2 linked regions of the Mytilus edulis genome follow. The protein of the gene in region 1 interacts with the protein of each later gene in a pairwise test. Links are inferred from orthologs where the notes say so. Each region holds a gene or a part of one and is shown on either strand. Other genes may lie near its edges.

Evidence for each region.
Region 2: the proteins of E3 ubiquitin-protein ligase SMURF2-like (region 1) and spartin-like interact in a two-hybrid assay, tested with the Homo sapiens proteins (2 studies listed by BioGRID and IntAct). The link is inferred for Mytilus edulis from reciprocal best matches to the Homo sapiens genes SMURF2 and SPART.

Annotation. Positions count from the first base shown.
Region 1 is NC_092352.1:15,163,948-15,180,570, forward strand, and holds the start of E3 ubiquitin-protein ligase SMURF2-like, read left to right. Parts: upstream 1-8,482; 5' UTR 8,483-8,607; coding exon 8,608-8,665; intron 8,666-11,656; coding exon 11,657-11,695; intron 11,696-12,633; coding exon 12,634-12,742; intron 12,743-16,623. UniProt on the Homo sapiens protein: E3 ubiquitin-protein ligase which accepts ubiquitin from an E2 ubiquitin-conjugating enzyme in the form of a thioester and then directly transfers the ubiquitin to targeted substrates.
Region 2 is NC_092351.1:1,232,311-1,248,555, forward strand, and holds the start of spartin-like, read right to left. Parts: upstream 8,796-16,245; 5' UTR 8,653-8,795; intron 783-8,652; 5' UTR 765-782; coding exon 2-764; intron 1-1. UniProt on the Homo sapiens protein: Lipophagy receptor that plays an important role in lipid droplet (LD) turnover in motor neurons.

The sequences.
Region 1 (16,623 bases):
CACAGATGTACAATACATGAGGCAAGAACATCACCACAGCTGTACAACCTAAGAGACTAGAACATGACTATAGTGGTATAACTTAATAGATTTACAAGAACATGACTATAGATGTACAAGCCAAGCGACAAGAACAAACGTAGGTGTAAAATCCAAGGGTTAGGAAAACATGACATTAGGTGTAAAATCCATGAAACTTAAAAGAACATTACCATACGTGTATAAGCCAAGACACTTACAAGTACATGGCCATAGGCGAACAAACACAAAAGACTTGCAAAAACATGCATGATCATGGCTGTACATTCATAGAGACTTACAAGAACATAACCATACGTGTACAATCCAAGCGACGAGAACATACGCGTAGGTGTACAAGCCAAGAGACTAACAAGAACATGACCATACGTGTACAATCCAAGCGACGAGAACATACACGTAGGTGTACAAGCCAAGAGACTAACAAGAACATGACCATACGTGTACAATCCAAGCGACGAGAACATACACGTAGGTGTACAAGCCAAGAGACTAACAAGAACATGACCATACGTGTACAATCCAAGCGACGAGAACATACACGTAGGTGTACAAGCCAAGAGACTAACAAGAACATGACCATACGTGTACAATTCAAGCGACGAGAACATACACGTAGGTGTACAAGCAAAGAGACTTACAAGAACATGACCATACGTGTACAATCCAAGTGACGAGAACATACACGTAGGTGTACAAGCCAAGAGACTTACAAGAACATAACCATACGTGTACAATCCAAGCGACGAGAACATACACGTAGGTGTACAAGCCAAGAGACTTACAAGAACATAACCATACGAGTACAATCCAAGCGACGAGAACATACACGTAGGTGTACAAGCCAAGAGACTTACAAGAACATAACCATACGTGTACAATCCAAGCGATGAGAACATACACGTAGGTGTACAAGCCAAGAGACTAACAAGAACATAACCATACGAGTACAATCCAAGCGACGAGAACATACACGTAGGTGTACAAGCCAAGAGACTTACAAGAACATAACCATACGTGTACAATCCAAGCGATGAGAACATACACGTAGGTGTACAAGCCAAGAGACTAACGAGAACATGACCATACGTGTACAATTCAAGCGACGAGAACATACACGTAGGTGTACAAGCCAAGAGACTAACGAGAACATGACCATACGTGTACAATTCAAGCGACGAGAACATACACGTAGGTGTACAAGCCAAGAGACTAACGAGAACATGACCATAGGTTTACACGCAAAGAGGCTAACACAAGAAAATTACCACAGGTGTACAAGCCAATAGACAAGCCTTAGAGCGTTACAAAATGACAGACCGATAACAGATTATGCCTTAAATGAAAAATAGTATTTTCAGACTCTTCAGAATTGCAGATCTGTTTTGCCCAGCATACCTCATGAGGGAATGTTTGTTGTAATAGCACCTACATAGACGTATATGTTGCAGAACAATTTAGAATTCGGTAGGATCCAGAATCCTTCTTGTACAAATTGAAATTCCAATACTTTGCTAGTCTAAATTGTTCACTGGTCAATGTGTTCTTGATATGTTTTCATGTTTGTAATATTTGTATCACCAACAACAAAAACACACATCGTTTGACCAATAGTTATCAAAGGTATCAGGCTTATAGGTTTTTCTAATTAAATACGCCAGACGCGTGTTTCGTCTACATAAGACTCATCAGTGACGCTCAGATCAAAATAGTTATAAAGCCAAACAAGTACAAAGTAGAAGAGCATTGAGTACCAAAAATTCCAAAAAAGTGTGCCAAATACGGCTAAGGTAAAGGCTATGCCTGGGATCAGAAAATCCTTAGTTTTTCGAAAAATTCATACTGATTGATATTCACGTTCACTTCGAAGTGCTGACTACTGGACTGGTGATACCCTCGGGGCGAAACGTCCACCAGCAGTGGCATCGACCCAGTGGTAGTGTAGCATTTGTAAATGGAATTTGGAGAATATTGAACTGTATTTTATGATCTAAAGGCCCAGTTTAAAGTGTAATCAATACTTAAGTGTCCGTCATCTAACTTCTTTTTTTTTACGTTGACATTATTCGTAGTAATATTCCGTGGTTGGTCCTTGGTTAAATGTGATATTCCTTGGCTAGGTCTTGGTTAAATGTAATATTCTATAAAATTGTTGTTTCTCGTTTAAATGTAACTCTTATTTGCATCTTATTACAGTGATTTCACCATGGTGTCAGGGGTCAGTAGTGCTTATCCGTTACCATCTTAATCTCATGAGTAACTCGAAACAAACATTGCAGGACTCAATTTTGTTAAAAAAAAATAATCTTGCGATCAGTTTGAAATGTTTTGACTGAATCGTATTTTATAATATCTTCTTTTAAGAATATAAAGCAAGAGATTCAATGCACACCGACAGTCTATTGTGTTCACATTAATGATCTGCTTACCAGTATAACAGAACAGAGACATATAGGCCTATGCTTTGAATGGTTGTAAAAAAAAAAACATATAACTTAACATGATAGATTCAATAGAGGCGAAGGAAACAACAACTCTTCAGCTCTAAAAGGGCATTGTAAGTGTCGTATAGAAAAGATAAATAATTGTGTGTATCAGTTTGACGTGTCAAATATTCCTTGCATATTTAATGATCAATTATACACTTAACAAACTAAGTAGGTATTTAAAAGTGATTTGACCGAAATGATTGCCAGGAAATATCAACTACAAAGCGGGGGAAATTAGGACACGATCTAATTTGGTTCTAAGAAATTTAAGTTGGTTTACATAAATAAGGCCTTTAGTTTTCTTGTTTTTTATTGTCATTTCGGGGCCTTTTTTATAGCTGACCATGCGATATGGGCTTTGCTCATTGTTGAAGGCCGAACGGGGACCTATAGTTGTTAATTTCGGAGTCATTATGATCTCTTGTGGAGAGTTGCCACATTGGAAATCATACCACAACTAGACTTTAGGGGCCAGCTGAAGGACGCCTCCGGGTGCGGGAATTTCTCGCTACATTGAAGACCTGTTGGTGACCTTCTGCTGTTGTTTTTTTCTATTGTCGGGTTGTTGTCTCTTTGGCACATTCCCCATTTCCATTCTCAATTTTATTTTTTATTTTGTATCGATAACATTATATGTTTTAATCATTCTCCTTTCAACACCATTTTCATTTATAAATTGCAAAGTTTTTTCTTGTTAACTGTGGAACTGTCAACGAGAAAAGCCAATGTAGCTCACTACCTAAATGCAACTGTACCATGTTACCATACGATACAAATTGTACAAATAGATTTCAATTGTTTTTTGTTGTTGTTGTTGGAGTAGAAACTTTTACAACCATTTCGCAATTTGATTTTCCATATCCGAAAGATACCGAATAGATTTCGTGAGTGGTCGATGATTTAGATTTCGTCCAATTTAACACAAACAATATTTTGGGATATTCCATGCAGCCTTACCAGTACTACACAGGCAAAATTTGTTCACATGAATCTCACATGAAATTCAAGTGACAAATTCCACGTAAGATTAACCTCAAACGTGCTTGTACATAAAACTCACGTGAAAATGTTCATGTGAATTTCACGTGAATTGAGATTCACACGATTCTCACGAGAAATTTTTCACATGATTTTCACGTTTACTTTTCATGATTTTATTTTAATTTGAATTTTAGATGTTATTAGAATCATTAACATGACATGAAATTCAAGTGAGATTCACATGAGGTTCATGTGAAAATTCACATAAACTGATTTCATGCAGTGGCGGATCCAGAACTTTTCATAAGGGGGGCCCGCTGACTGACCTAAAAGGGGGGCGCTCCAGTCATGCTTCAGTTATTCCCTATATAATCAACCACATTTTTCTCACGAAAGGGGGGACCGGAATTTAAATTCACGTGAAATTGAAGTGAGTGAAACAAGCCAGAAGTCCGTATCAAGCATAAATTGTGTTTCACGTCGAAATTGTCTCGTTTTGCAACCTTTCTTAATCTATTTTTTTTAAATTGTTACATCTACGTCTCCTTTTGTAATACAGCTCTGTTACTGAACAACTGAAACATACGGCTTGCATATATATTATGTGACACAGTGTATAGATGTAGTCTGATACTATGTGCTATTGTGAAAAGATTAACAGTTATACACCCTAGTGTCATAGATGGTAAAAAGATGAACAGGAAGATACCGTGAGCCATGGTACAAAGATAGTCATATATCGTGTACTATGATAAAAAGATGTATAGGCAGATACCGTGTGCCATGGTACAAAGATAGTCATATATCCTGTACTATGATAAAAAGATGTATAGGCAGTTACCGTGTGCCATGGTACAAAGATAGTCATATATCCTGTACTATGATAAAAAGATGTATAGGAAGATACCGTGTGCCATGGTACAAAGATAGTCATATACCGTGTACTATGATAAAAAGATGTATAGGCAGTTACCGTGTGCCATGGTACAAAGATAGTCATATATCCTGTACTATGATAAAAAGATGTATAGGCAGATACCGTGTGCCATGGTACAAAGATAGTCATATATCCTGTACTATGATAAAAAGATGTATAGGAAGATACCGTGTGCCATGGTACAAAGATAGTCATATACCGTGTACTATGATAAAAAGATGTATAGGCAGTTACCGTGTGCCATGGTACAAAGATAGTCATATACCCGTGTGCCATGGTACAAAGATAGTCATATATCGTGTACTATGATAAAAAGATGTATAGGAAGATACCGTGTGCCATGGTACAAAGATAGTCATATATCGTGTACTATGATAAAAAGATGTATAGGCAGATACCGTGTGCCATGGTACAAAGATAGTCATATATCCTGTACTATAATAAAAAGATGTATAGGCAGTTACCGTGTGCCATGGTACAAAGATAGTCATATATCCTGTACTATGATAAAAAGATGTATAGGCAGATACCGTGTGCCATGGTACAAAGATAGTCATATATCCTGTACTATGATAAAAAGATGTATAGGAAGATACCGTGTGCCATGGTACAAAGATAGTCATATATCCTGTACTATGATAAAAAGATGTATAGGCAGTTACCGTGTGCCATGGTACAAAGATAGTCATATATCGTGTACTATGATAAAAAGATGTATAGGAAGATACCGTGTGCCATGGTACAAAGATAGTCATATATCCTGTACTATGATAAAAAGATGTATAGGAAGATACCGTGTGCCATGGTACAAAGATAGTCATATACCGTGTACTATGATAAAAAGATGTATAGGCAGTTACCGTGTGCCATGGTACAAAGATAGTCATATATCCTGTACTATGATAAAAAGATGTATAGGCAGTTACCGTGTGCCATGGTACAAAGATAGTCATATATCCTGTACTATGATAAAAAGATGTATAGGCAGTTACCGTGTGCCATGGTACAAAGATAGTCATATATCCTGTACTATGATAAAAAGATGTATAGGCAGTTACCGTGTGCCATGGTACAAAGATAGTCATATATCCTGTACTATGATAAAAAGATGTATAGGAAGATACCGTGTGCCATGGTACAAAGATAGTCATATACCGTGTACTATGATAAAAAGATGTATAGGCAGTTACCGTGTGCCATGGTACAAAGATAGTCATATATCCTGTACTATGATAAAAAGATGTATAGGCAGTTACCGTGTGCCATGGTACAAAGATAGTCATATATCCTGTACTATGATAAAAAGATGTATAGGCAGTTACCGTGTGCCATGGTACAAAGATAGTCATATATCCTGTACTATGATAAAAAGATGTATAGGCAGTTACCGTGTGCCATGGTACAAAGATAGTCATATATCGTGTACTATGATAAAAAGATGTATAGGAAGATACCGTGTGCCATGGTACAAAGATAGTCATATACCGTGTACTATGATAAAAAGATGTATAGGCAGATACCGTGTGCCATGGTACAAAGATAGTCATATACCGTGTACTATGATAAAAAGATGTATAGGCAGTTACCGTGTGCCATGGTACAAAGATAGTCATATACCGTGTACTATGATAAAAAGATGTATAGGCAGATACCGTGTGCCATGGTACAAAGATAGTCATATATCCTGTACTATGATAAAAAGATGTAAAGGCAGATACCGTGTGCCATGGTACAAAGATAGTCATATATCGTGTACTATGATAAAAAGATGTATAGGCAGATACCGTGTGCCATGGTACAAAGATAGTCATATATCCTGTACTATGATAAAAAGATGTAAAGGCAGATACCGTGTGCCATGGTACAAAGATAGTCATATATCGTGTACTATGATAAAAAGATGTATAGGCAGATACCGTGTGCCATGGTACAAAGATAGTCATATACCGTGTACTATGATAAAAAGATGTAAAGGCAGATACCGTGTGCCATGGTACAAAGATAGTCATATATCGTGTACTATGATAAAAAGATGTATAGGCAGATACCATGTGCCATGGTACAAAGATAGTCATATACCGTGTACTATGATAAAAAGATGTAAAGGCAGATACCGTCACGTTGTCATGATGAAAAGATGAGCAGCCAATTACTCTTGCGCCATGGTACAAAGATGAACAGTCATATACCGTATGTTATGGTGAAAGGTGTACAGGCAGATATCGTGTATCATGGTGAAAAGATGAACAGTCAATTACTCTAGTGGCTGTGCCATGGTAAAAAGATGAACAGTCATATACCGTGTACTATGGTAAAAAGATGTACAGGCAGATAACGTGTGTCATGGTTAAAAGATGAACAGTAATATACATTTGTACCATGTGCTATGGTGAAAAGATGTATGGGCAGATACCGTGTGCCATGATGAAAAGATGAACAGTCAATTACTCTAGTGCCATGGTAAAAAGATGAACAGTAATATACCGTGTACTATGGTAAAAAGATGTACAGGCAGATAACGTGTGTCATGGTTAAAAGATGAACAGTAATATACCATGTGTTATGGTGAAAAGATGTATGGGCAGATACCGTGTGCCATGATGAAAAGATGAACTGCCAATTACTGTAGTGCCATGGTACAAGGATGAAAAGTCATATGGGCAGATACCGTGTGCCATGGTGAAAATATAAATAGATATATAACGTGTGCTATAGTGAAAAGAAGTTCAGTCAGATACCGTGTGTCACGGTGAAAAGATGAACAGCCAATTACTCTAGTGCCTAGGTAAAAAGGTGAACAGTAATATACCATGTGTTATAGTAAAAAGTTCAGTCAAACGCCCGTGTGCCGTGGTGAAAAGATTACAGTCATATCGTGACTCTAGTGCCATGGTAAAAAGATAAACAGTCATTTACCGCGTGCTATGGTAAAAAGATGAACAGTCAGTTAAAGCAAAGCATCAGTCAACATGCAATTAAACGGTAAATAAAAAATCTTACACCAAGAGACTCAAGTAGAAAGTTTAGGAAAAAGATGAAATTTTAAAATTTTAACTAAATCTTGTTGTTTTTACAATCTATTTTAGTAAAATGAGCAATTATGTTGGTAAATTCCTTTTTAGTTCTTTATATATCACAACGTGACCCCAGAGATGTGGAAATGTCCTCTTAATCTAGCTTATAAACAATGTTATTAGAATTTTATTGTCTTTTCCCCCTCACGGTAAATTGATAAATTTGCTGGACAATGTATATATATAAAGTAAATAATGGTTTTGATGAGGAGCAGACACCAAGCAGAGGGTTGTACTCTAGCATGGACCGTGGACTTGACAGCTGTCACTAACTGTCCTCATCGTACTTTATACAGATAACCAAGCATCAATACGTCATTCACAGCAATTATATCTCATTAATGGTATTTAAGATGATATTGTCAGCACTTAATATATCAGGCACCAAATTCAAGTTCTATCATGTGAAGTTTGGATCAGTAATGTATACGCCGATAACTCCGATAAAAGTAGAAAAAAGACTAGGAGAGGGAGGATCCGCAGGGTCAGTCAGTCAAACTACAGGCACTTGTCTCAGAAAAAATGTCCCTTATACCTTAACACTAAGATATATATAAAAATAGTTACAAATATTAGTGACTGTGGTTGAAACAGGGTGTAAGTGTCAAATATTGTAAAAATACTGTCGATAATTTTAACTAGTTTTAATAAGAAAAGAAATAGAATTTTTCGATAATTTTTTTATGTATTTGTCACTTCAGACCGTGAATTACAATTTACATTACATTTTGTCTCTGAAAAAAATAAAGGTCACTTTATTTCAAATATAAATATGTCATTTTAAGTTATAAAACCAGATAAGTTGTAACTAAAAGTATCATAATTTCTGGCATAATTTAATTTGAATACAATTTACATAATACCACTTAATGAAACAGTTGTTTTAGTTAAATACCGGACGCAAGACTTACTAATTCCCCCTACCATTACCCCGCTTATCTTTGGCGACAGTAATCCTTTTAATGGCCTCTTTGTCGCTACCGGAAGTTGTCAGTTTCAGACTCATTTGCATACAATATTTTGCTTTCTGTTTAAATGAATGGGGATGAAAATGACAGAAAATATATCATGATCTCGATATCTAGCAATGGCTAGTAACGGATCTAGGCGTCATGGAACATCTACTATGAAAATTCGTTTAACAGGTACACCTTATTACACAAATAACTCGCCTATAAGATCGAAACCAAACGGTATTTGTCGATGACCCATTGTACTCCAAAGAAAAATGGCTGCCTTGAGGAATCCAGTAGCAATTAATATCATCATTACAGCGGTATCGTTGAGTGTACCAACTATTTTAAGAAAGAATTAAGGCCTATATATATGTAAATTCTGATATATTATAATTTGACGGCGTCAATTGTTGAGACCACTCTTAAAATGATGTACATTACCATCATCAATGAAAAACTTTATAAATGACAACAAGTAAGGCCAGGACTGAAAACCACTTTTACTTTCTCTTTAAACACAAAGGATGATTGTGAAAAGCGTTTTTCTGAAGATGTCTCATTGGCATTGCTTTTGTTGGATACCTCTTTTTGACATTGTGATTACCCATATGCATAAGATTTTATTAAATCTCTTGAAGGTAATTATTGTCATTCACATGAGTCATGTTGTTGGGTAGTTTGTTGAGACATCGTCTTACTAACCAAATGTATTGTTGAGAATCACCTTGAAAATCCTGATCCTGAAATCAACAATAGACATGATAGAATAATCAGACAGCATGCTCCATATTTGAATACTTATTCTAATAGGTTTTTCAATTTTTTGTCTTGCCGGCTATGAAAGCACTTAAATTATGGGAAACATTAGTATTGCTTTACTGGCATAGTGTTCCTATGATATATCATTTGGCCATACAAGTTTTGAAAAAAATGAGTCCAGACATATTTTTTTGTGACAAGGTAACATGGAATCGCATAGTTAGCCTTTTTACAAATGTATACGAGTAAAGAGTTTATTAGTTATGCATTCAAAAACATTCATATCCTCATGTAATTCTTGTGTACATGTTTATCATATATATTATTTGCAAATTGTTGAAGAACTTCCTAAGGATGCAGATTTATAAATGCAGAGTACCGTACGTACATGTACACCTCAAAAGTTTGTATTTATATATATGTATTAAGTTCAAATTGATAGTCCATTTTAATCGGAGAATTAAGTCATGATTATCTTCATTAACATGGAGATGTTAAAAGGGTTATTTATTAAGTTATTTTTTTAAATGAAAATTATGATAGATGAAACAAAAATTATTTTCAATAATCTTGATTTTGTGATTAGTATATACATTTAATAATTGATTTATAATTTATATTATCAAAATATCTTTGACCAAATTTTAACATTTTCAATAGATAATTTATTATCATGATTATATATAATGTATGAAAAAGATGTGGTATAATTGCTAACAATACAGCTACAATTTACATTTTGTATAATATATGTACTATGTAGGGTCAATCCCAAACATTTCTGGGAATATTTGATTTCCTGGATCTGATGCATAAAATTCTACATAAACTTTAATTATCAATTCCTGAAATAATAACTTTCAAATTAAAATTTATATGAATTATAAGTATTTACTCCTGAAATAGATATATCTTTTAATTGGTTTTACTGCTGTAAAAACAATAGATAGTATTCATTACACAAAACATAAGTCTGTATTCACTATTGTACATGTATGGTAATTTTACTTCCAGTATATTGCCACTTCGGACTTCCAATCTTTATTCCAATAGACATGTTCAACCAAACATGTCATATATACATATTTCTTGAATTCATGGACTTTTAACTTTATGCATCTCTGTATTAAGAATTAACTAGGTTATGATTTGTTAAAAGAAAGACAAATGAAAGAGGAAGATACACATTTGACAGGAAATATTTCAAATTTGGACATGAGAGGAAATACTATTATGAGGATAATCTGGATTTTTCATGGGAATGTACCTTAATCATTTAAAAAAAATATGATTCTTTATATTATAAAATGTAGCATTGTCTTATTAATTTTGTTTTGTCTTTGCAAATGGGTTAGAAGATACTTGAAGTGCTGTACATGTACATGTGTCACAGTCTGGGCAGGGTCTGTGCTATCAATAATGGTTAAAGTTTATAATTATTTTTTAGCAAGAGCTCTGTTACATTTTATGTTAATGGCATTTTCGATATAATATCACACAAATTAACAAAGGCAGTTGCTATTTGTCCGGCCAATACAATGCGCATGTTAATATTGTGTGTGCTTGTAATATTACCTTCAGCCGCACCAGGGGGTCACAAATTATATATATAAACATTTAATAAGCAATGGTTTGCCATCTTAAATTGTCGTGCCAAATCTTGTTAGTTTCATATGAAGTTGAATGTGGACAACGTGTAATTAGAAAAAAAAAATCATATGTATCATAATTTGTATATTCATTTCTTTATCTATGCCTTCACATTGTAAGAAGAGGGAAGAAATAACTTGTAAAACAAACTTGGGTCCTGATAGGCATATTAAGTTAACAAAAGGATTTGGTCTAGTTGAAAAAGGTACAAAATTAGTATGTCTGAAGCTGTCAAACAGAATGATTGACCCCCTTTCTTTGTGATTTCAATTACTTTTTAGTCCGTTTTATAAAATTGGATCATTCTTTGAAGTTCATACTATCGAATGTATCTGCTTGTCAAATTCTAAAAACTGGAAAATTTATCACAATTTTTTATATCGCCGTTTTCAACCATTATCTCACAATTGAAAATCAGTGTTCGGAGTACACGCAACCCCATGGTGCTGCTGAAGATAATATTACATGCACTTATCATAAGTTATGCAAGCACATAAAGTGACATGCGCATTGCAATTACCGTACAAATAGTCCTAGCACTATTTGTCCGGCTAGGTGTACAAACAGCCACTCTGATTAACATATTATTGATCATTTCCAACCATTCACATACATGTATGTGGAAATTGTGGGTGTTTTGGGTTTTGGTATTAAAAATTATACTGCATTGTACCGTGTCATGATGAGTATGGTCAGTGAGTGGAAAAGTCTCTTGTATATTTATATGTACTTGTACACACATCATACAATAATTTTTTTTTTCTATTTTAGTTCTATGTGCCAAGAACTTAGCCAAGAAAGACTTCTTCCGTAAGTATACCAGTCCAAATACTTTCTTTTCGCATTTGGCAGATTCGTTACATACATGCATCAACCATTACATGTACACTGTGTAAAAATGTCAGTAGAATATATGGAAAACAAAAGAGGATAAACACAAAATAAACCTTTGATTTAGCCTTTCTATAGTGCTCATCACTTTGGCATTTACGAAAGGATTTTCAAATGACATAGGTACTTCTGTTCCATTTCAACACTAAATTTTGTGAATGGGAAAAATAAATGTAAGGAAATTTTATATGGCAAAATGTTGTCATACTTATATGGAGAATTCTTTACATAAATAGAAATGCTTCATATTTGGTTTAAGGCAGCATCTTGACAGCATTGAGTTGTAATGTGTATGCTGTCACAATACATGCAATAGTAACTCTTGTTTTTTATACGAACATGTAATGCTATCAGTTGGTAATGAGAATAAGAGTTGCTTATATTCACATGCAAATGAAAGGGCAGACTATTCCCACTCCCAGTATAAAGAATAAGACTACATGCCTATATTTTGATGTACAATGTACCTAACAATAAATTTTGTTTTTGTCTCGCCTTGACGGAACCAAAAAGCGAGGCATAGGTATTCTATTTCCGGCAGGGGGCATCAACAATGTATCAGTTTGTGATACCGTCTAGTTTATGGTGAACCACAAGTTTTGCATAATCGAAAATTACAAAAAGACCAGACATATCTTTGTAAAAACAGTTCATTATTTCATCATTCCATACATTTCTTGAATTCAATATCCAAATATGTTATAATGCTTTCATAGTTAATTACACATGTATGATGTAGGACACAAGAGCATAAGATTTGACAACTTATTTTGATATGACTACATGTAAATAATCATAGGAATTGTTTAAAAACAAAAACTGTTCACATCAACTAATGTATTAATTTTGAATTTCAGGCCTACCTGATCCCTTTGCTAAAATTAGTGTGGATGGTTCCGGCCAGTGTCATTCTACTGATACCAGTAAAAATACCTTGGATCCAAAATGGAACCAACATTATGACCTGTAAGTTTGGGTTTTTTAAAAGATTTTTGCATATTTCCTGCTTTTTGATAGTTTTAGAATTGCATATATACTAATCATATTTTGTTCTTCTTAAATATACATGTTCTAAGTAATATGTAAAAAAACAATGTAAATTATGCAAATATATTGTGCTTCTTATATAAAGTTGTAGGCCATGTTGAAATTACTTTTAATGTCTACCTCATTAGGAGATCATAAATATTCTAAACTTCCTAAAATCTTCTAGACTTCCTAAAATCTTCTTGACTTCTTAAAATATTCTAGACTACCGTAAATCTCACCATCAACATATTCATGTTGATATCAAATTCAGTACATGTATTCCTCTTAATCCTAAAGTGGATCATGTCAGGAACCTGTTGTTCAGTGGTTGTGTTTTTTGGATTTCGTTCAAAAGTGTTTATCGTTTCTATGCCCCTGTTGTAATGAAGGTGGCAAAAGTTTTACCCTTGTCCGTCTGTCTCAAAACAGGTTTCATTTTCTTACTTTAGTTCGCCTCAACCAAATGTTGTGAAACTTATACACTACCCTTACATGTATTATCACAAAAATTTAAAACACAGATCATGTTTGAATTAAGGTAGTGTTACTTTTTATGTTTAATAGTTATGCCCCTTTACAAATGGAAAAAATAGCTTACCATTTGATGAAAGCCAAAGCTCGGTGTTGAAGGCCATGCTTTGACCTATTATTATTTACTATTTACACATACTTTCATTGTGACTGGATGGAGAATTATCTCATTGGCACTTATTTCTACCTACAAAACTAACATGCTGCTTATATAATTAAAAGTTGGTAGTTTAAGCTCCACTCTTTAATAATGAGAATATTATTGTGATCTTGATTTTCATATGTCAGCACAGGGTTGTTATTAGTTTGTGATGAACTTGTTTTCTCAAAATGTATGATGCTCTTTAATTACTATTCTTTTACTGAGTACTACAGCTTAAGAATAATTTAGCCATAATAGAACTACATTTGATGCTTGAAGGATTACAGTGAATATCATTACTAGGGTTCATTTTACAAAATAGGGATGTAACAATTGCATTTATATATAAAAAACATTACTTCAAAAATATAGAAGCAGCATGCAAGTGATAAAAACAACCATACATGTATGTAACCTCACATTACACCATGACAATTGTGTCCTGATGTTCAAATTTAAATTTTTACTAATTTTTTCATTGTAAGTGAAGTACATGTATACATATTTACAACCAGAATTTGTGTAACATCAGACTGATTCTCAGCAATAGCCATATATGTTCAAATGGAATGATTGATTGTCTTGTGGCTTATTTTGGTTTTGTTTACAAAATACAAGTTTTCATTTGAATAAGTAATTATATGAAAATATTGCCATGGATTGATTGATTTGTGTTCAACACCACTGTTTACACTATTGTGCTATTTGGTGTCAGTCAATTTGATTGGTGGAGGAGGCCAGCGTACTTCAAAGAGAACCACTGACTCTGATTAGGAATACTGACAATCCTAGTCATTAGAAATTGGAGTCAATGGCACCTGCTCTATGCTGGAATAAATATCACAATCTCTGTGTTGACAGGCTATTGATACAATAGTTTGACTATGTAAACCACTTGGCCACCAGGCCCCTTGATGGTTGAGGAAGAGGCTATTGATACAATAGTTTGACTATGTAAACCACTTGGCCACCAGGCCCCTTGATGGTTGAGGAAGAGGCTATTGATACAATAGTTTGACTATGTAAACCACTTGGCCACCAGGCCCCTTGATGGTTGAGGAAGAGGCTATTGATACAATAGTTTGACTATGTAAACCACTTGGCCACCAGGCCCCTTGATGGTTGAGGAAGCTACATGTATAGAGAGCAACTGTAGAAAAACTGTCAATCCTAGACAATTAAGATTGTAGTCATGCGCACCTACCATGTGCAGATTTCATTCACAACCTTACTGTTGACATGCAGACAGTAATTTCACTACTTATACTACTCTACCCCCACCAAGACCATGCCATGACTTGATGTTCCAATGTAATATTGACATGATGTTAAAAATTAACACAGAGCACAAGTTTAAAAAGAAAAGCAATTTGTTTACTTGCAACTAGATAGTCACAGAGTTAACTGTATTCATGTAATATTAAGATTTTTTAGGCAAAGGGATATGTTGTATATACATGTAACTTCTCAGCTGGCCGAGTTAAATGTTAGACTATTTTGTGTAATTTGTGTAATTTTCTATACTTAATGTAATTTCATGACTTCAAATGGAAATGTTAGAAATATAAATGGTCTGATTCAAGTTCACAAATTCAACGTTAAGTTCTTCAAATTGGAGACATTTTAAAAAATATTTAATTTTAGGACTTATATAAATAACCAACATCATTACTTCAAATTTACATTTTTCATATTTAGGTTAAGTTTAGGAGGAATATAAGAATAAAATATGAAACTTGGTGTCAATGTATATTTCAAAACTTTCTAAAGAATACACAGGAAATCATCAAATCTATTCAAGTGTAGGAAAATTTATGTTCAAATATCTACATGTAAAGTCAAGGTTAGGAAAACTTGTGTTCTAATATATACATGTAAAGTTAGTGTAACATGATCAAAGGCAGTCAATTTGTTTGAAATTATTGTAACACATTTAAATGAGCTTAAATTCTGTAAATACACAAGTGTTACATTATGAATTAAATGGTTTTAAGTAAAAGGACTGATGTTAAGCATTTTATTTTAATGTTTTCTACATGTATGGAAAATAGTTATGCTATGTGATTAATGAGACATTATAATAACATGAAGTTTATGATGTGTTTCATATTAGGATGATCTGACAGTTGGCTAGTGAGGTTACTTATTTATTATTAAAATTATAATTGTAATATTCATTAAAGAATGTGAAGCTTTTCTTGTGATATTTTCGTTCCAGATATTTATTGATTATTAAATCAAAAGAAAAAAGGAAATTTGCAGTTTAATAATTGATTATTTAAAATTTTTTGAAATATTTTATTTTTTTAATGTTGAGGGAAAAACCATAGGTTAGATGCATTAGTTTATTTAGTACAACATTGTACAATGTAATTATGGTTTCTACTGTTTTCTCTTGCTTTCAGTTAATTAAAAATAAAAAAAAATAAAATAATAAAGTAAATTAGGCTAAGCCAAAAATAAAACGCTTCTGACTACTTAAAAAGAAAAAGGAAGAAGACCTGTTAAAATTGAGAGACACAACAAAGCAGTTTACTTTAACATATCATATTATGTCATAAAACTGATATATATATATATATATATTATGAAAAATCCTTGGTAAAACATAGACGTCAAATTTTTTTAAAGCATATTTTGCAAGATATTGAGAAAATGATACCAAAGTCATAGAAATAGATTGTTTACCAAGTCATTTCTTTGTGATCAAACACAGGGCCACCAAAATAATATAATATTTAAGAAAAAAATATTTAAGTACTACAAAGATTATTTATATATGATTTAACAAATAAATAACAAAACAATTCTGTATCCAGGTAGAGGAATACTTTTGTTTATAAAACAGGGCACTGACCTAACTTAGGAGAAAAATATTTAATCTCAGCAACCGTATATAATTTTTAATTAGATGTACAATGGAAGTAAAATCAAAACAGAGTTGTTTTTCTTGGCCCAATAAACAATATAATTATATGATATAAGTATAATGAATTATCTACTTCATGATCATCTAACAACATTCAACAGCCATGCTTTATGATTTACTGTCCTATTTTAGGACTTCTATTGGTATTTTTGAAATTGGTAAAAATAAAAGGTTGCTGTTTTACTAAAATTACTAAAAAGGAGGATCACCCGCTCT
Region 2 (16,245 bases), on another chromosome or scaffold:
CCTGGTCTGTCTGTTGTATCAGGGAAGACATAAGCCCCATTAGTAGCTTTTAAAGCTGGAGAGGCCCCTGGTTGTAAGGGGTACACCCAACTATTGACTTGTAAAAAGGCTGGAGGGCGCTGACCAGTTCTAACAGTAGGTTCACTTATAAATTTGAATATTTTCAGTGAACTTGGATATGACGGAGCACTAACGTATCCTTCTGGTGTTATAAAGAAAATCTGGACACCATCTGGAATATTATATATCTCTGTAGCATCAGCATCAAAAACTTCTGATGATTCATCACTCATTATAGAATCTCCAAGGGACTGAAACGTTGTGTCACTGATTGACGACCCAGATTCTGACATCACGTCCTCGTATGACGGAGGTTGATTTAAATCCATAGGTGTAGTGGGATGTCTAGAATGTACGTTTCTTTGGACTTCTATACTCTGAAGCCTATATTCTATCTGAAGTTTGGTTTTTGTCATTTTTTGTTGTAATAATTTGGCAGAGTCTTTTTTCTCTTCTGTAGCTTTAAGTTTCTCACAATCTATTGCCAGACCTTTGTCTAAGAACTGTAATCCAGCTCTGTATTGATTAACTGCTTCATCAAAGTTTTCACTCTCGTCTGCCGACAGACCTTTCTCTATATGTTTGTAAGCATTATCATGGTAAGATTGTATTGTTTTATAGTCAGTTTGATCTGCCTGATGGAGGGATGGTGGTCTAGGTGGGGGAACTCTATCACGAGGTCGTGCATCAGCACAAGTGGCCATGTTGATGGTTTTTCGATCCTGGAAAAAAAAAAGAATGGCAAATTATGAATAATTTTCATCTAGTCAGTGTTGCTGGCATTAAACTTTAAACACTGTATGAATATCAATTCAAATTAATTCTGTAATAGTCAAATGCAAAAGGCTTAGATGCAAAATGAAAAAAAATATATTGTATACATACATGATATAAGCATGATAAGACCCTTCATTCATGTTTGTTAATAATCATGATTATATAATTTTTTGTTTAGTTTGTTTTCTTTGAAATTCAGCTTTATCTGAGTAAATCTTTCTGTAAATCTAATTACAAAATGTAGTAATATATAAGTTAACAAAATGTATAATATCCAGCCAAGTTCAATATATTAAATATATTATTTTCAAATAGTAAAGGACAAGGGCAATGAATAAATGTATGGGCTGTTTTTTACCAAACACAAAATTTCAGTAAAAGTAGTAGCTAGGCAGGTAAGATGGTAAGGGCTGATTTTTGCCTAAAATTTCAGATTCATCGGTTGAACGATTTTGGGCATTTTTAAAACACTAAAATGGCTACTTTAGTAGAGTCAATTAGTTTATGTGAAAGATTTGAACTGATGTAATTGGATGTGGTCATTAAGGTGGTACCTAACACTACAGGGAGATAACTCTGTTAAATCAGCTAAACGTTTTAATTACGTTGTGTTGTTAAGGGAATATCATGAATATTACATGTACCATATTAAGCTTCTCAATGATCAAAATTAGTTTTTGTCAAACTGCTATATAACCAGTGTAATTTTTCTGATAAATTGGTTGGTTCAAATATTTTGAAATTTTTATATAATTGTCAAAGGTTTGACAAAAATTTATGAAAATTAAACGAGCCAAATTAATTTTAGTGAAAGTGTTGGGTACCACCTTAAGACGCTCAAATTAAATATTAAAAATCTATCAAATATGCCATAAACATGATAAAATGTCACTTTTCAGATGGCCTTTGTCAAAAATGAAAGAGCTAGGCCACATCCTTGTTCACTCTTAAATGCTTAACCTTTATATATGTTATGTATTATCATCAAATACAACTCACATTTAAATATATATTTAAAAGAATTTATAAGCACAAATGTGGTCACTTCCATTTAAGATGGAAACTGTCTAAAATTTAACTAAAATTTTAAAATTGTGAAAATTGAAGTAATTTAGCATGACTTTATGATGCTAGTACCCTAAAAATGTGCATTGTATTGTCAAAAAAGCCCATATTTATGTAACAGAAGTTTTCTACTCTTTCCAATAAATAGTTAACATGATTAAAGGTTGACATTTTAAATAATTTTGTAAAACTGCTTTATTTTGAGACCAAAAAGGGGTCTTACTGGACCTACATTTGTACTCCTTTGCAATGTTTTTACTTTACTTTTCACCCTAATTCTGGAGCCTCAGACCAATTTCATAAGTGATTTCCTTTGCAATACCAAAAAATTTGTAATTCTTCCTGGAATGCTGGACAGGCTGTTCATCTAGCTGTTAAATTAAATGACCCATTAAGTGAATGACATCACTTGACATCTTTGGTGTCAAATACACTAGTGTTAAATAACACCAATTACCTTTACTAGCTTTAGGTCATATATATATGATCTATGAGACTATGTATTTCAAAGTTGTTTTACAAACAATTTGAATTACTTCCCCTTTATTGTGTAGCGGGAGGGGGTCAGTGACGACACCTCCAGGGACGTGGAGTATCACTATTTGACCATCTGGATACCTGATATCCGATTATGGCAACAGACAATGACAGACAATAAATCAAATGAAAACTATATATTACATGTATTTACAAATGTACAATAATTGCATGTACAAAATGATGTATTTTACAAGGTTGGATGAAACAAGAGTATAAACTTTCTAAAATGAATATGATGAAGTTAAAAACTAAAGTAATTTAAATGTAAAATGAAACCAGGTGCTCCGCAGGGCGCAGCTTTATACGACCGCAGAGGTCGAACCCTGAACAGTTGGGGCAAGTATGGACAAAACATTCTAGCGTGATACAGCTCTGAATTTGGATTGTGATCAAATTTTTGACATTACATGGGTTTTTTTTACACAAAACAAATGTCAAGATTTTACAAATTTTACAATAAAAGATTTCTTCTTCAAACTTTTTAAATCTAAAATTAAATAGTTGGCACAGCATAGGTTTCTGACACAGAATGAATGTGGTCTAATGAACTTAAAAGTTTGTTTTTGCCTTTTAGCAATTCACTATGCTGTTGAATATTAATCCTCTCAAAAAAATGTTTGAAGAAATTTTCTTTTTATTTATGAAATCTGAAATGAGAAAAATTTAACCCCCCCCCCCCTTTTTTTCACATCCCCGTTTCCTTTTTTCCAAAACTGATATTATCAATTCAAATTTCTAATGGAGTTTGCAGCAATAACTACTCTTTTAAATACATCATAAAATATTAAAATGTAAAATAAAGTGCTTGTTATCACTGAATGGTAAAGATTGGTTGGTAGTAAAAGTGAATATACATTGTTTATTGTATAAAACAATAAAAAAAACTTCATCAGCAACATTTTATATTGGCAAATTTCCAATGAAGTTATTTACATAAAGTAATGGGCAAATAAAAATAGAAAATGACATCATAGTCATGTCTGGCAAATGTCCAACATACATTATCTAAAAACATTTTAGATAAGATAAGGAAATAAGATGTAAAAAAACTGCTTGTTATCACTGAATGGTAAAGATTATTTTAATTTATCAGTTGGTAGTAAAAAGTGAATATACATTGTATATTGTATATAACAAAGATTTAAGTTGATTCTGGACAAAGAAAGATAACTCCAATTAAAAAAAAATCTTGCTATTGCACAATATTTTGCAATTAGATATTTCTTGCTTACTATTCTGGACAAAGAAAGATAACTCTAATTAAAAAAAAAATTGCTATTTCACAATATTGTGCAATTGGATATTTCTTGCCATTGCGCAATACTGTGCAATTGAAAAGACTTGCTATTGCACAATACTTAATATAATAATTTTAGATCCTGATTTGGACCAACTTGAAAACTGGGCCCATAATAAAAAATCTAAGTACATTTTTGGATTCAGCATATCAAAGAACCCCAAGATTTCAATTTTTGTTAAAATCAGACTAAGTTTAATTTTGGACCCTTTGGACTTTAGTGTAGACCAATTTGAAAACAGTACCAAAAATGAAGAATCTACATACACAGTTAGATTTGGTATATCAAAGAACCCCATTTATTCAATTTTTGATGAAATCAAACAAAGTTTAATTTTGGACCCCGATTTGGACCAACTTGAAAACTGGGCCAATAATCAAGAATCTAAGTACATTTTTAGATTCAGCATATCAAAGAACCTAACTGATTGATTTTTTGTCAAAATCAAACTAAGTTTAATTTTGGACCCTTTGGACCTTAATGTAGACCAATTTGAAAACAGACCAAAAGTTAAGAATCTACATACACAGTCATGACAGTTAGATTCGGCATATCAAAGAACCCCAATTATTCAATTTTGATGAAATCAAACAAAGTTTAATTTTGGACCCTTTGGGCCCCTTATTCTGTTGGGACCAAAACTCCCAAAATCAAACCCAACCTTCCTTTTATGGTCATAAACCTTGTGTTTAAATTTCATAGATTTCTATTTACTTATACTAACGTTATGGTGCGCAAACCAAGAAAAATGCTTATTTGGGTCCCTTTTTGGCCCCTAATTCCTAAACTGTTGGGACCTAAACTCCCAAAATCAATACCAACCTTCCTTTTGTAGTCATTAACATTGTGTTTAAATTTCATTGATTTCTATTTACTTAAACTAATGTTATTGTGCGAAAACCAAGAATAATGCTTATTTGGGCCCTTTTTTGGCCCCTAATTCCTAAACTGTTGAGACCAAAACTCCCAAAATCAATCCCAACCGTTCTTTTGTGGTCATAAACCTTGTGTCAAAATTTCATAGATTTCTATTAACTTAAACTAAAGTTATAGTGCGAAAACCAAGAAAATGCTTATTTGGGCCCTTTTTGGCCCCTAATTCCTAAAATGTTGGGACCAAAACTCCCAAAATCAATACCAACCTTCCTTTTGTGGTCATAAACCTTGTGTTAAAATTTCATAGATTTCCATTCACTTTTACTAAAGTTAGAGTGCGAAAACTAAAAGTATTCGGACGCCGGACGACGACGACGACGACGACGCCGACGCCAACGTGATAGCAATATACGACGAAAATTTTTTCAAAATTTGCGGTCGTATAAAAAAAGTACATGTATTTCCAGAGTTAGTCTTAAATAAAGTATTAAATGCACTTTGTTTTTAAAGAAGTAAAATAATTAACTTGCACCAAAAAATCAGTGACTAACTGTGGCGCACTTCCATGACTGCACCTGAAGTGATGGCTAAATCTGTTCTTGAGTGGGATGAATTTCACCAGGGTGAGGTTTGGACATGTTGGAGGCTGATGCAAGTCAGACTCTGACTGAATATCAATTAAATTCCTAATCTTTTCATGTCTCACGATAACTTTAACTGAATAGGTACTGAAGAAAAGTGGAATAAATGAATATTCTTAAAACATAATATAAACATCAAAAAGTTAAATACTAAAACAAAAATTAACAATCCTTATTTTTATCTTACTTTATCTAAATCAAATCAAACTAAAGTTAAAATTAACATTTTATACAATAGAGGCTTTAAAGAGCCTGTGTCGCTCACCTTGATCTATGTGAATATTTAACAAAGGAAGCATATGGATTCATGAGCAAAACGTGTTTTGGCGATGGTGATGTGTTTGTACATCTTACTTTACTGAACATTCTTGCTGCTTACAATTATCTCTATCTTAAATGAACTTGGCCTAGTAGTTTCAGTGGAAAATGTTAGTAAAAATTTACAAATTTTATGAAAATTGTTAAAAATTTACTATTAAGGACAATAACTCCTTAGGGGGTCGATTGACCATTTCGGTCATGTTGACTTATTTGTAAATCTTACTTTGCTGAACATTATTCCTGTTTACAGTTTATCTCTATCTATAATAATATTTTTCAAGATAATAACCAAAAACAGCAAAATTTCCTTAAAATTACCAATTCAGGGGCAGCAACCCAACAAAGAGTTGTCCGATTCATCTGAAAATTTCAGGGCAGATAGATCTTGACCTGATAAACACTTTTACCCCTTGTCAGATTTGCTCTAAATGCTTCGGTTTTTGAGTTATAAGCCAAAAACTGCATTTTAGCCCTATGTTCTATTTTTAGCCATGGTGGCCATTTTGGTTAGATGGCTGGGTCATAATGGCCATCTTGGTTGGTTGGCCAGGTCACGCCACATATTTTTTAAACTAGATACACCAATGATGATTGTGGCCAAGTTTAGTTTAATTTGACCCAGTAGTTTCAGAGGAGAAGATTTTTGTAAAATTTAACGACGACGGACGCCAAGTGATGGGAAAAGCTCACTTGGCCCTTTTGGCCAGGTGAGCTAATAAAAATTAGACAACTTTCGAGTTTGATGCATTTCTGTCAAAAACTGGGGTTTTAGTGAACATCATTCATGGGTTTTAAGGGGTATCGTCACTTCCGTTCCAATGTTGAGCAAGTGGTTGGAAAACTATGATGCTATATAGCACAAATTATTCCCTTTTATCATGTTTATGAAGGGTACATATCAAGTGATAAAATGTATCTTTGACTTATTAGTAAAAGTGAGCACATATTTATATTATTTGAAGAAACTTTTCCCACTGAACCATACATCTAGACTATCTAGTATTATATGGTCAAAACTGAATTTAAACATGTCCAAGAATTTTGTAATATTCAGGCCACACCAATTTAATTTCTTGTTCTACGGATTTTTGGACTCCAAAATTTGGTGCGAGCGAGCGATTTGAAAATTTTAATAAAAAAATATTCAATTTGCAAATTTTTAAGGCGAAGCTTGAAAAGTAAAGGCGAGCGATTATAATTTTTTTTTTGTAAATATAAAATAATAGGTTTTGACAATATTAAAACTTGATTTATCACTTGTACTTTGATTTCTGAAGTATTTTTTCCCTGTTCACCAAGAAATAATTAAATCTGGTCTATGTATGTGTGACGGACAATGAGACAATTCTCCATCCAAATCATAATCAGTTTGGGGGCAACACCTTAATGTTATAAATATCCCTTTCACATGTTTTATGAGGGATCAATATAAGTTATAATATATTTGTTTGTACAAAAGGGCTCATATTTTCTCATAGAACTATATATCTATCTGGTATTAAATCGTCAAAACATGTCCAAGAATTTAGCAATATTCCTGGACTTTAACCATGTTAACACATTTACTTTAACAGTTTAATATTATTCAAAATAAGTGGACCCCTCTTTTAGAATTTTTTTTTAAAAATATGATGTAACTCTCCTCTTTTTGAGTACAAAATTCTAAGTGTTCAAAGGTTTTGCATAGAAGAACTATACAAATCCTTGGTATTTCTATTTTCTTTTCTACATCAGTAAAATGACCCCTTGTCTGAGGGAGGGTTGTTCTCAACCTGATAATAACAAACACAGGTCAAAGTACGGCCTTTTACACAGGGCTTGATACAGACCAAACAGCAAGCTATAAAGGACCCTAAAATTATTAGCGTACACAATTGGAACAGGAAAACCAACGATCTAATTTATATATCCAAACGGGAAAATACCAATGAACAACATCAACAAACGATAACTGCTGAACGACATGCTCCTGAATCAATCAGGACAGGTTCATAAACATGCAGCGGCTATGGATAGTTTTGTTTCGCCAGCATACAATATAATTGCAGTTGAAGGCAAATCCTACAGAAGTTCTTTGTACTTTATTCTAACAACGAACATTTTTTGATGGGGAATATAAGTAAGGGGGAAAGAAAAAAATTTTTGTTCTTCACGGAAATACCCGCTGTTATAACTTTTTATCGGAGCATTCCAGGTTTCATGCTGAAACAAATATTCTCACAGATATTTACACAGTGTGGTGGGGTGCTTTTATGTTTAAAATCGTTATATACAGGTTAGACTGTGATTTAACAAATGTTGATATCTTTTTATAATATTTACAAAAAAAAAAACGGTGCGGGAAATGGACATGATTACAATTCCGGATGCGGGAAGCAGGAATATAAAAAAAATCTGTTTTGAAAAAAAATAGGTGCGGGCGGGTCCGTCGAACAAGGGATCAAATTGGTGTGGCCTCATAGGCTTATATCTTCTTTATAATAAAAATAGTTGGACCCCTCTTTTAGAACTCAAAAGAAGTATTGTTCCAAATATAATGTATTTCTCCCCTTTTAAGATAAAAAAAAGTCTGTTCATTCTTCTTTGAAATACAACAGTAAAATGACCGCTGGTCTGAGTAGAGACATATAATATATATGTATAAATTCATATCTCTGGTCTGAGGGACAGTTTCTCGTTAAGGTATATCCCTCATTTGCCATTGGGGGGTTGTCAATTAAAAACGCTCACTTCAATTATTACCTGTGGGGAAGTTCTCAAACCTGTTTCCCAACTTAGTTTATTTTGGCACCTTCTGGAGGAATGAAAAAAAGTGTACTGCAAAATCCTGGTAAGTTTTCATTTTTCTTACACATAAAAGTAAACATATTTGAAATTCATTATCTAGGGCATGCTATGTCTGAAATTTTTTACAGATGTGCAGGTTTGTCTGTACTTGGAGTAAATTTTGAGGTGAAAATACGGTCATTAAATTAGCCACATGAACCTGAATTTATATGAAACTCTTGGCAGGTAAACCTTTTCAACAAACATTATTTTAATCATTTATAGACTGAAGATGGTATTTGACTTACAAGATAACAATGTTCTTGACACACTGAAGAATGTCTCACTATCAAACTACTGTCTTGTGATATGACGTGAATGTAAATAAAATGTGTAAAAGTCAGGAGACCTCTAATGTGATGTCAACAAAAGTTGGAAAACCCCTTTTCCCAATTTTGGGCTAGATAACCAAAAGAACAGGATTCTGCATGGTGCATAAAACATAAGGGAGCTACCATTTGATTTTTATGGGGGGGCTAGGATGAAAAATTTTGTCCTGCATTTTTTTTTAGTTGTAATCTCTGTCCTGCCTTTTTATTTTTCACTCTTTTCGGTCCTTCTTCTTTTTTTTTTTAGTTTATCCTGACTTTTTTTACATAAATTGTCATCCTGACTTTTTTTTTTTGCAAGTGTCTCATCCTGCCTTTTTTTTTTACTCAAAACTCCAGTCCTGCCTATTTTTTTCAAATTTCATCCTAGCCCCCCCATAAAAATCAAATGGTAGCTCCCTAAGAAGAAAACAAGATCCTGTTCAGATTGTTAACCGTGGGAACCATTTGAAATACAACTAAAGATTTATATAAAAATATTTAAAATTAAATACCTCAAAGAACAAATTAAATCACATCTCATCAAATCAAATAAGTTTACAGCTGTTATTTACAACTAATACAAATACAAAACATAAATAAAGACCAATATACGTGGACATACACAACTTAGCCCGTGCATGCTGAGCTAAACAAATATTTATATTTAGCATAGACACTAGTAATTATTCAATTTTTTCAAGTAGACTTAGTCCATGCAACATATTGGTGTTAGAAAGAACGTATTCATTTTTAGAATGTCTTGAAGAGACTACATTTGATATTTCTAGTAAACATAATAAGGAATCAAAAACGCCGGAAGATCAACATCAATTGAGAAGAGCGAGTATGGTGTCATTAGTGATAAAGGAGAAACCCTTGATTTATTAGCTTCCTTGTTAGTAGCAGCAGCTACACTCTATCAAGAGAATCATGATAGGAAATACAACCCAGGAATATCGTAGCATCTTGGAGATATTTACATTGTATGGAGAAGCTGCATGCTGAAAATCCAGGATGTTGCTACATAGAAATGGAAAGTTCACAATTGGGAAGCTGAAATGGAAAGTTCACATATTGGGAACCTAAAATCATTTTATAGAATATAAAAAAGAGGTGAAAGATAGATACCATAGGAACATTAAAACTCACAATTCAAAAATAAACTGACAACCCCGTAGGTTAAAAAAGAAAGAAAAAAAACAGTAAGGGAGCTACCATTTGATTTTTATGTGGGGGCTAGGATGAAAAATTTTGTCCTGCATTTTTTTTAGTTGTAATCTCTGTCCTGCCTTTTTATTTTTCACTCTATTCGGTCCTGCCTTTTTTTTTATTAGTTTATCCTGACTCTTTTTACCTAAATTGTCATCCTGCCTTTTTTTTTGGCAAAGTGTCTCATCCTGCCTTTTTTTTTTTTACTCAAAACTCCTGTCCTGCCTATTTTTTTCAAATTTCATCCTAGCCCCCCCCTCCCCCATAAAAATCAAATGGTAGCTCCCTAACAGACAAACAAAAGTAAACAAGCAAAAGTTATAAACTTTCTTGTCGCTTATCATTTTCGGTTATTTCTTTTTGTTGTCCTGGAGGAGACCTCTGTGGACTAAGATGTCTGACTACAGTATCACTAGCCAGTTAACATTGAGATTGTGCAGGGGCGGATCCAGACATTTTAATAAGGGGTTGGGGGGTCCCAACCCAGGACAAAAGGGGGGGGTCTAACTATATGACCCCTTTCAAATGCATTGATAGGTAAAAAAAAAAGGGGGGTCCAACCCCCAGAACACCCCTGGATCCGTTAAGGTTGTGAGCTCAAATACCGGCGCACGTGGAAGGCGCGCTCGACTCAAAATCTAATATGACTAGGATCGTTAGTTTTCCTACAAAAGGTCGGGCCTTCTTCCTCCACCAATAAACACTGACCTTACGAAATAAAACATTCTTTCACCTAAACTTAATGTTCCTATTGTTTTCATATTATTATAAATTAAAAAAAAAAAATATGTAAAAATTAAAATTAAAAAAAATGTAAATAACATTAATAAATATTAATGTGTATACCATGTACGGGAATATGTCAGACCCCTTCTACGATTTGCATATTTGTAGAAGTCAGATATGTCTATCCAAAAGTATATGATACTTACAGTTTTCATGTTTAAAAAACAAACACACCTACCTACCAAATCATTTAATATTTATAAACAAAGAAGGCTTAAAATTGAAAGGCACTTTGGTTATTTTCATTTACCAGTTTAGAAGTGGTATTAGGCTATTCAGAGTAAAATTTGTGGCCAGTATTGTATGCCAAATCATATCTATGCAGGCAGTATTAGGTGATCAGGCACGATTAAGAACTAGATATTTATATGAATCTATATTGTATAGAGCAAGTTGGAATGCTAAAGTACTAGTTAGTACAGAAGCACTTAAAGAGTGCACATTTTGGCTACAAAATATATGTAGTTTAAACGAGACAGGATCTCAATTGTGTCAGTTGACATTTAATGAAGATCAAGATTATCACTTGTTCTGTGATGCATCTGGCAAGGGTTTTGGCGGTCATTTGACCGCAGGTTCAAAGGACGAACCGTTGGAAATGTTTGGAAGTTGGTCAGTAAATGAACAAAACAAAAGCTCAACTTGGCGAGAGCTAGTAGCAGTAAAGAGAGTATTACACAATTTTACAAATTTAATAAAGGATAAAATCATTAGGGTATACACAGATAACAAAAACGTAACGCACATACTCAGAGTCGGAAGTCGAAAAGCATCACTACATGAAAATGTGATGCAAATACATGAAATTTGTAAGAATCAATCAATTAAATTAAGTTCTGTTTGGATTCCACGTGAACAAAACACACACGCTGACATGTTAAGTAGACGGTCAGATTGTGATGATTGGGAGGTACAGGACGAAATATTTACATATCTAGATCACTTGTGGGGTCCGCACAACGCCGATAGGTTTGCACATGACTACAACACCAAGTGTAAGCATTTCAATTCAAAATATTGGTGTCCAGGAACATCAGGTATTGACGCTTTCACGGTTGATTGGAAAGGTAAAAATAATTGGCTTGTACCACCACCAAATTTGATTCCTAAAGTGTTAAACAAATTAAAACAAGAAAAATGCAATGCTACTTTAGTTATACCAGAGTGGACCTCTGCACCGTACTGGCCTATGTTAATAGATGAGAAAGGGAACATGAAAGTTTTCATAGTTGCACACATTTTCTTTCAGGGAGAAAACTTGACCAAGGAAGGCCGCGGTCAAAGCGGAATATTTGGACAACAATTTCTGAAATTTAGATTGATTGGTTTAAGATTACAATTTTAGATCAAAATATTTATGATTATTCTTTTTTTAACAGGGACAAAATTAGATCGTACAGTAAAGGAGGCCATTAGAAATAGCGGCATCGATGGTGACAGTTATCTTTATGGGCTTTATCCAAAAATGTGCGAACTTTTAATAAACAGCAGAAGTGACAACACAGTCAAATCTTATTTTAATGCTTTTAAAAGATGGGAACGTTTCATATCTCTCCATGGACATGTTGCTTTACCAGCTCAACCAGTGCACGTCGCACTTTACCTTACAGACTTAGTTAACAACGGTTCCACTTAATATCATCCGGTGTATAATGCAATATATGGTATAAAATGGGCACACGAAATCAACAGTTTAAAAGATCCTACCACAAACACTTTTGTTACTTCAATACTAGAAGCGTCTAAAAGAGTTGCGCCAAAGAAGACTAACAAGAAAGATCCAGTAACTACAGACGTTTTGATAGAACTTTGTGATAATTTTAAAGATTGTTCTGATCTACTTGTGTTAAGAGATTTGACTATGATGCTACTTTGTTTTGCAGGTTTCCTTAGATACGATGAACTTAGATCTTTGCGTTTCCTTGACATTGATATACAAGATTCTTTTCTGATTTTACATATAACTAAGAGCAAAACTGACCAATACAGGCAAAGCAATGAGGTTATAATAGCAAAAGGTTCTACAATCGCATGTCCCTATAATATGTTAGTTAAATACACACGTTTGGCTGGTTTTAGTAGTCATGAGAATAAATTTTTATTTCGTCCTATCTACAGGTCAGGAGAGTTGTGTAAATTGATAAATAAGGATAAGAAACTCAGTTACACGGCGGCTAGGGAGTGTCTTCTTAAGAGAATTAGAATTATTCGTCCTGGTTGTAACATAGGTCTGCACTCGTTCAGATCAGGTGGTGCCACAGTGGCTGCTAACGCAGACGTTAGCGACAGGTGTTTGAAAAAACACGGCAGATGGAAATCTGACTCGAGTAAAGATGGTTATATCGTAGACTCCATAGAAAAACGTTTGAAAATTTCTCAAGTTTTAGGTTTATAGTTTCATATTTGGGATCGTGTACCCTTTCTTTGTATATTTCTATCACGTTCGACGGGCTGTCGGCAAATTTATATTTGTGTTTTAGTTATATTTAGTCATGGAGTAGAGGTAATACTTGTATTTTCCCGCGGTTCGTATAGTAAAGCGGGAAAATATTGTATTGTCGTTACGTTTTCATAAATATTCATAAGGCATGACAAAATTGACCAATCAGAAGTTGAATTTTGTCTTTCGATATATTGGTGTTTTTCAAGCGCTTCACTTTCTAGCCGTCGTTCAACATAGTAAGCTCCTTTATTTTTAATTGCTGATTGCAATTAAAGTTTTTTTTTTTCTGATTTTCTATTTGTATATGTATTTGCTAATTAAAGGTGTGGTCCGCCACTTTTATCCGGAGATAGGCTCGAGCATTGGCACGGATACAGGTTTCCATTCATATTCATATATCATGTGAACGATTGTTGGTTTTTCCTGGACGGCCTTGACTATCTATGAAGGGTAACATTCAGAAATTTAAGCGAATACACTGTGGATACATTGATATTTGAAATATTGTATATATGTTTTAATATTTGTTAAAATGTGTACTGCTGGAAATTATTTGAGATACAAATTAAATACGGCGTCTATCACGTTCGACGGGCTGTCGGCAAATTTATATTTGTGTTTTAGTTATATTTAGTCATGGAGTAGAGGTAATACTTACTGTGGTATTGTGTATGACACAAGACTTACAATCTCTTTTATATGATATTATTTAAGGAGGCTCGAGGGTATAAAAATTTCAGAAAAAAATCAAACATTTGTTTTTCATTACAAATTTTATTTATTTCCTTTTGTAATTGTTACTTTATCACATGGTACAAAAATCTTTCAAAACAATCAATTCGTGTTGGCCCCAGATGACTTTTAAAATGAATACATCATTGAAAAAGTTTCAAATTATCTCCCTTTGGTGGAAAAATGCCATTTTTTTGGCTTTAAAATTGAATATCTTTTTCAACTCATCGGTGACCTATCTTTTTTAATATAATTTCCATATAAGCTGTACTTCAACTAAATTATTGTAAAATTTGAGCGATTTCTGTAATAAATTTCTTTTTTTATTTCGATATTTACCTTTATTTCTCCTATTACTTCAACAGAAAAAAAACACCTTTACAAAAATGTATGCTTCTTTCGAAGGCAGATTGTGAGCGCAAATGAACGGTGACCCCACTTTTTTATTTTATTTTTCTATTAACTATAAGATAAAGTTCATTTATAGAAAAATATAGAGAAATCCTATATAAATGATTTAGACCCACGAACCCCCTTAATACATGTAGTTAAGTTTTGGCAAAATTGGAGATCTGTTGTATGACTGTAATAATTAAATATGTATAATAGACATCTATTCCGAAAAATCAAAAAGTGTTATCTTTTAAATTTAGTACATATGTACTCAATTATCATGATTATGGATCAAATTTAAGATTTTTAAAATGGCAAGACAAACATTTTGTACATGTAAATGCGGGCCGATGATGTTTAAGTAAAATAAAAGACCAATACTACATGTACTAATCAAAGTAAAGAATAACCTATACACTTCATGCACAGTATATGCAATAATTATTTTGTTTAATTGTAATGAGACAATTTTTTTTTATATTTCAGAACTGGTGAAACAAAAGAAAATTGTTTTCTGATAGGACTGAAGAATGGACACATTCAATCAGACTTGGAGTAAGTAGTTTTATATGAAAGAAATACTTATGAATGCTTTTTAAGTAACTTTTGCACATATTGGACTTACATTTTGAAAAAAATCAAAAGTTGTAAAACCATCTGTAATATTTTTTTGATATAAACATGGTATATATCTTTAAAATTAGCAAATTGAAAACAGGGGTTACAGCCCACAGGTCTTATTTTATTGAGAAAATCCCCAAAACAGGTCATAGTAAATTCATTATAATTATCTGCCCTTGATTTTACAAGGATTTTTTTCTTAAAATATAATTACTCTTTAAAACATGCTTAACATCTTATTTTTCATAGTTTAATCTTATAATTTCAAGTTTTAGATGTTTCTGTTGTACAATGTATATTGAATGATATATGGTAAAAATAGTAAATTCAAGTCAATATGTCAAAATGAAGGAAAACCCCACCTACTTAGGCAGCTCACAATTTACCTGTATAACATAGAGAAATTTGTCAAATTCCTTTTAGTTAAACAATAATGCATGGTAATTTTAATTTATGTTCTCTTTTTTTCAGGTTATGTTACTGCTTGGTGCACAAAACACAACAGATCCATGCAAGATGGTCATATCAATTATGCTGTTACAGAGCAAATCAGTTATGCACGAAATAAATTCAGGAACTTGTGATAATAATTTATATTCAATTTAACTGAAAATGAAGAAATTGTGAAGAACTAAAAAAGTCAAAATTATACATACATGTATAGTAATTTGTAGTTGCTTAAATAAATTCGATCAAGTATGATAACATTTTTTGCATTTTATTGTATGAAGGCCTAGTTTTTCTTCGCAAGAAGGCATGGCAGTGGTAAAAACCTGAATCTTTGGAATGAAAAAATTCTTTCATTGAAGACAGAATTTTTTCATATTCTTAAGGCGGATTTTTTTTCATATTCTAAGGCGGATTTTTTTTCGAAGGCGGATATATTTTCCGTTTCATTAGGTGGATATATTTTCGTCTTTTTAGGCGGATATATTTTCCGTCTCTTTAGGCAGATATATTTTTGAGAAGAACATTTTTCCTTTTAATTAGACGGAAATTTTTCCTCCTAAGACAGGCGGATAAATTTGCATATTTCGGCTCTATTCCGCCCGTAACCCGCCTGGAATCCATGTAAGAAAGATTCTTCGTGTAAAAGTGGACTTAAAACGGATTCCCTCTAAAATATCCGCCTGGAATCCGACTAAAATACGCCTGGATTTTTTCGTACAGGTAAGTTACAAATAACGGAATAATAAGCTCACATATATTTTTCTTCGTAATATAAATTAACCAATAGATAATCAAGATAATTAAAATACACACTATAGGTCAGATTTAAATAACAAGATTAATTAAATTTAAGGGGGGAAAAAAAACCTCACAAAATTTCTATAATATGAATATAT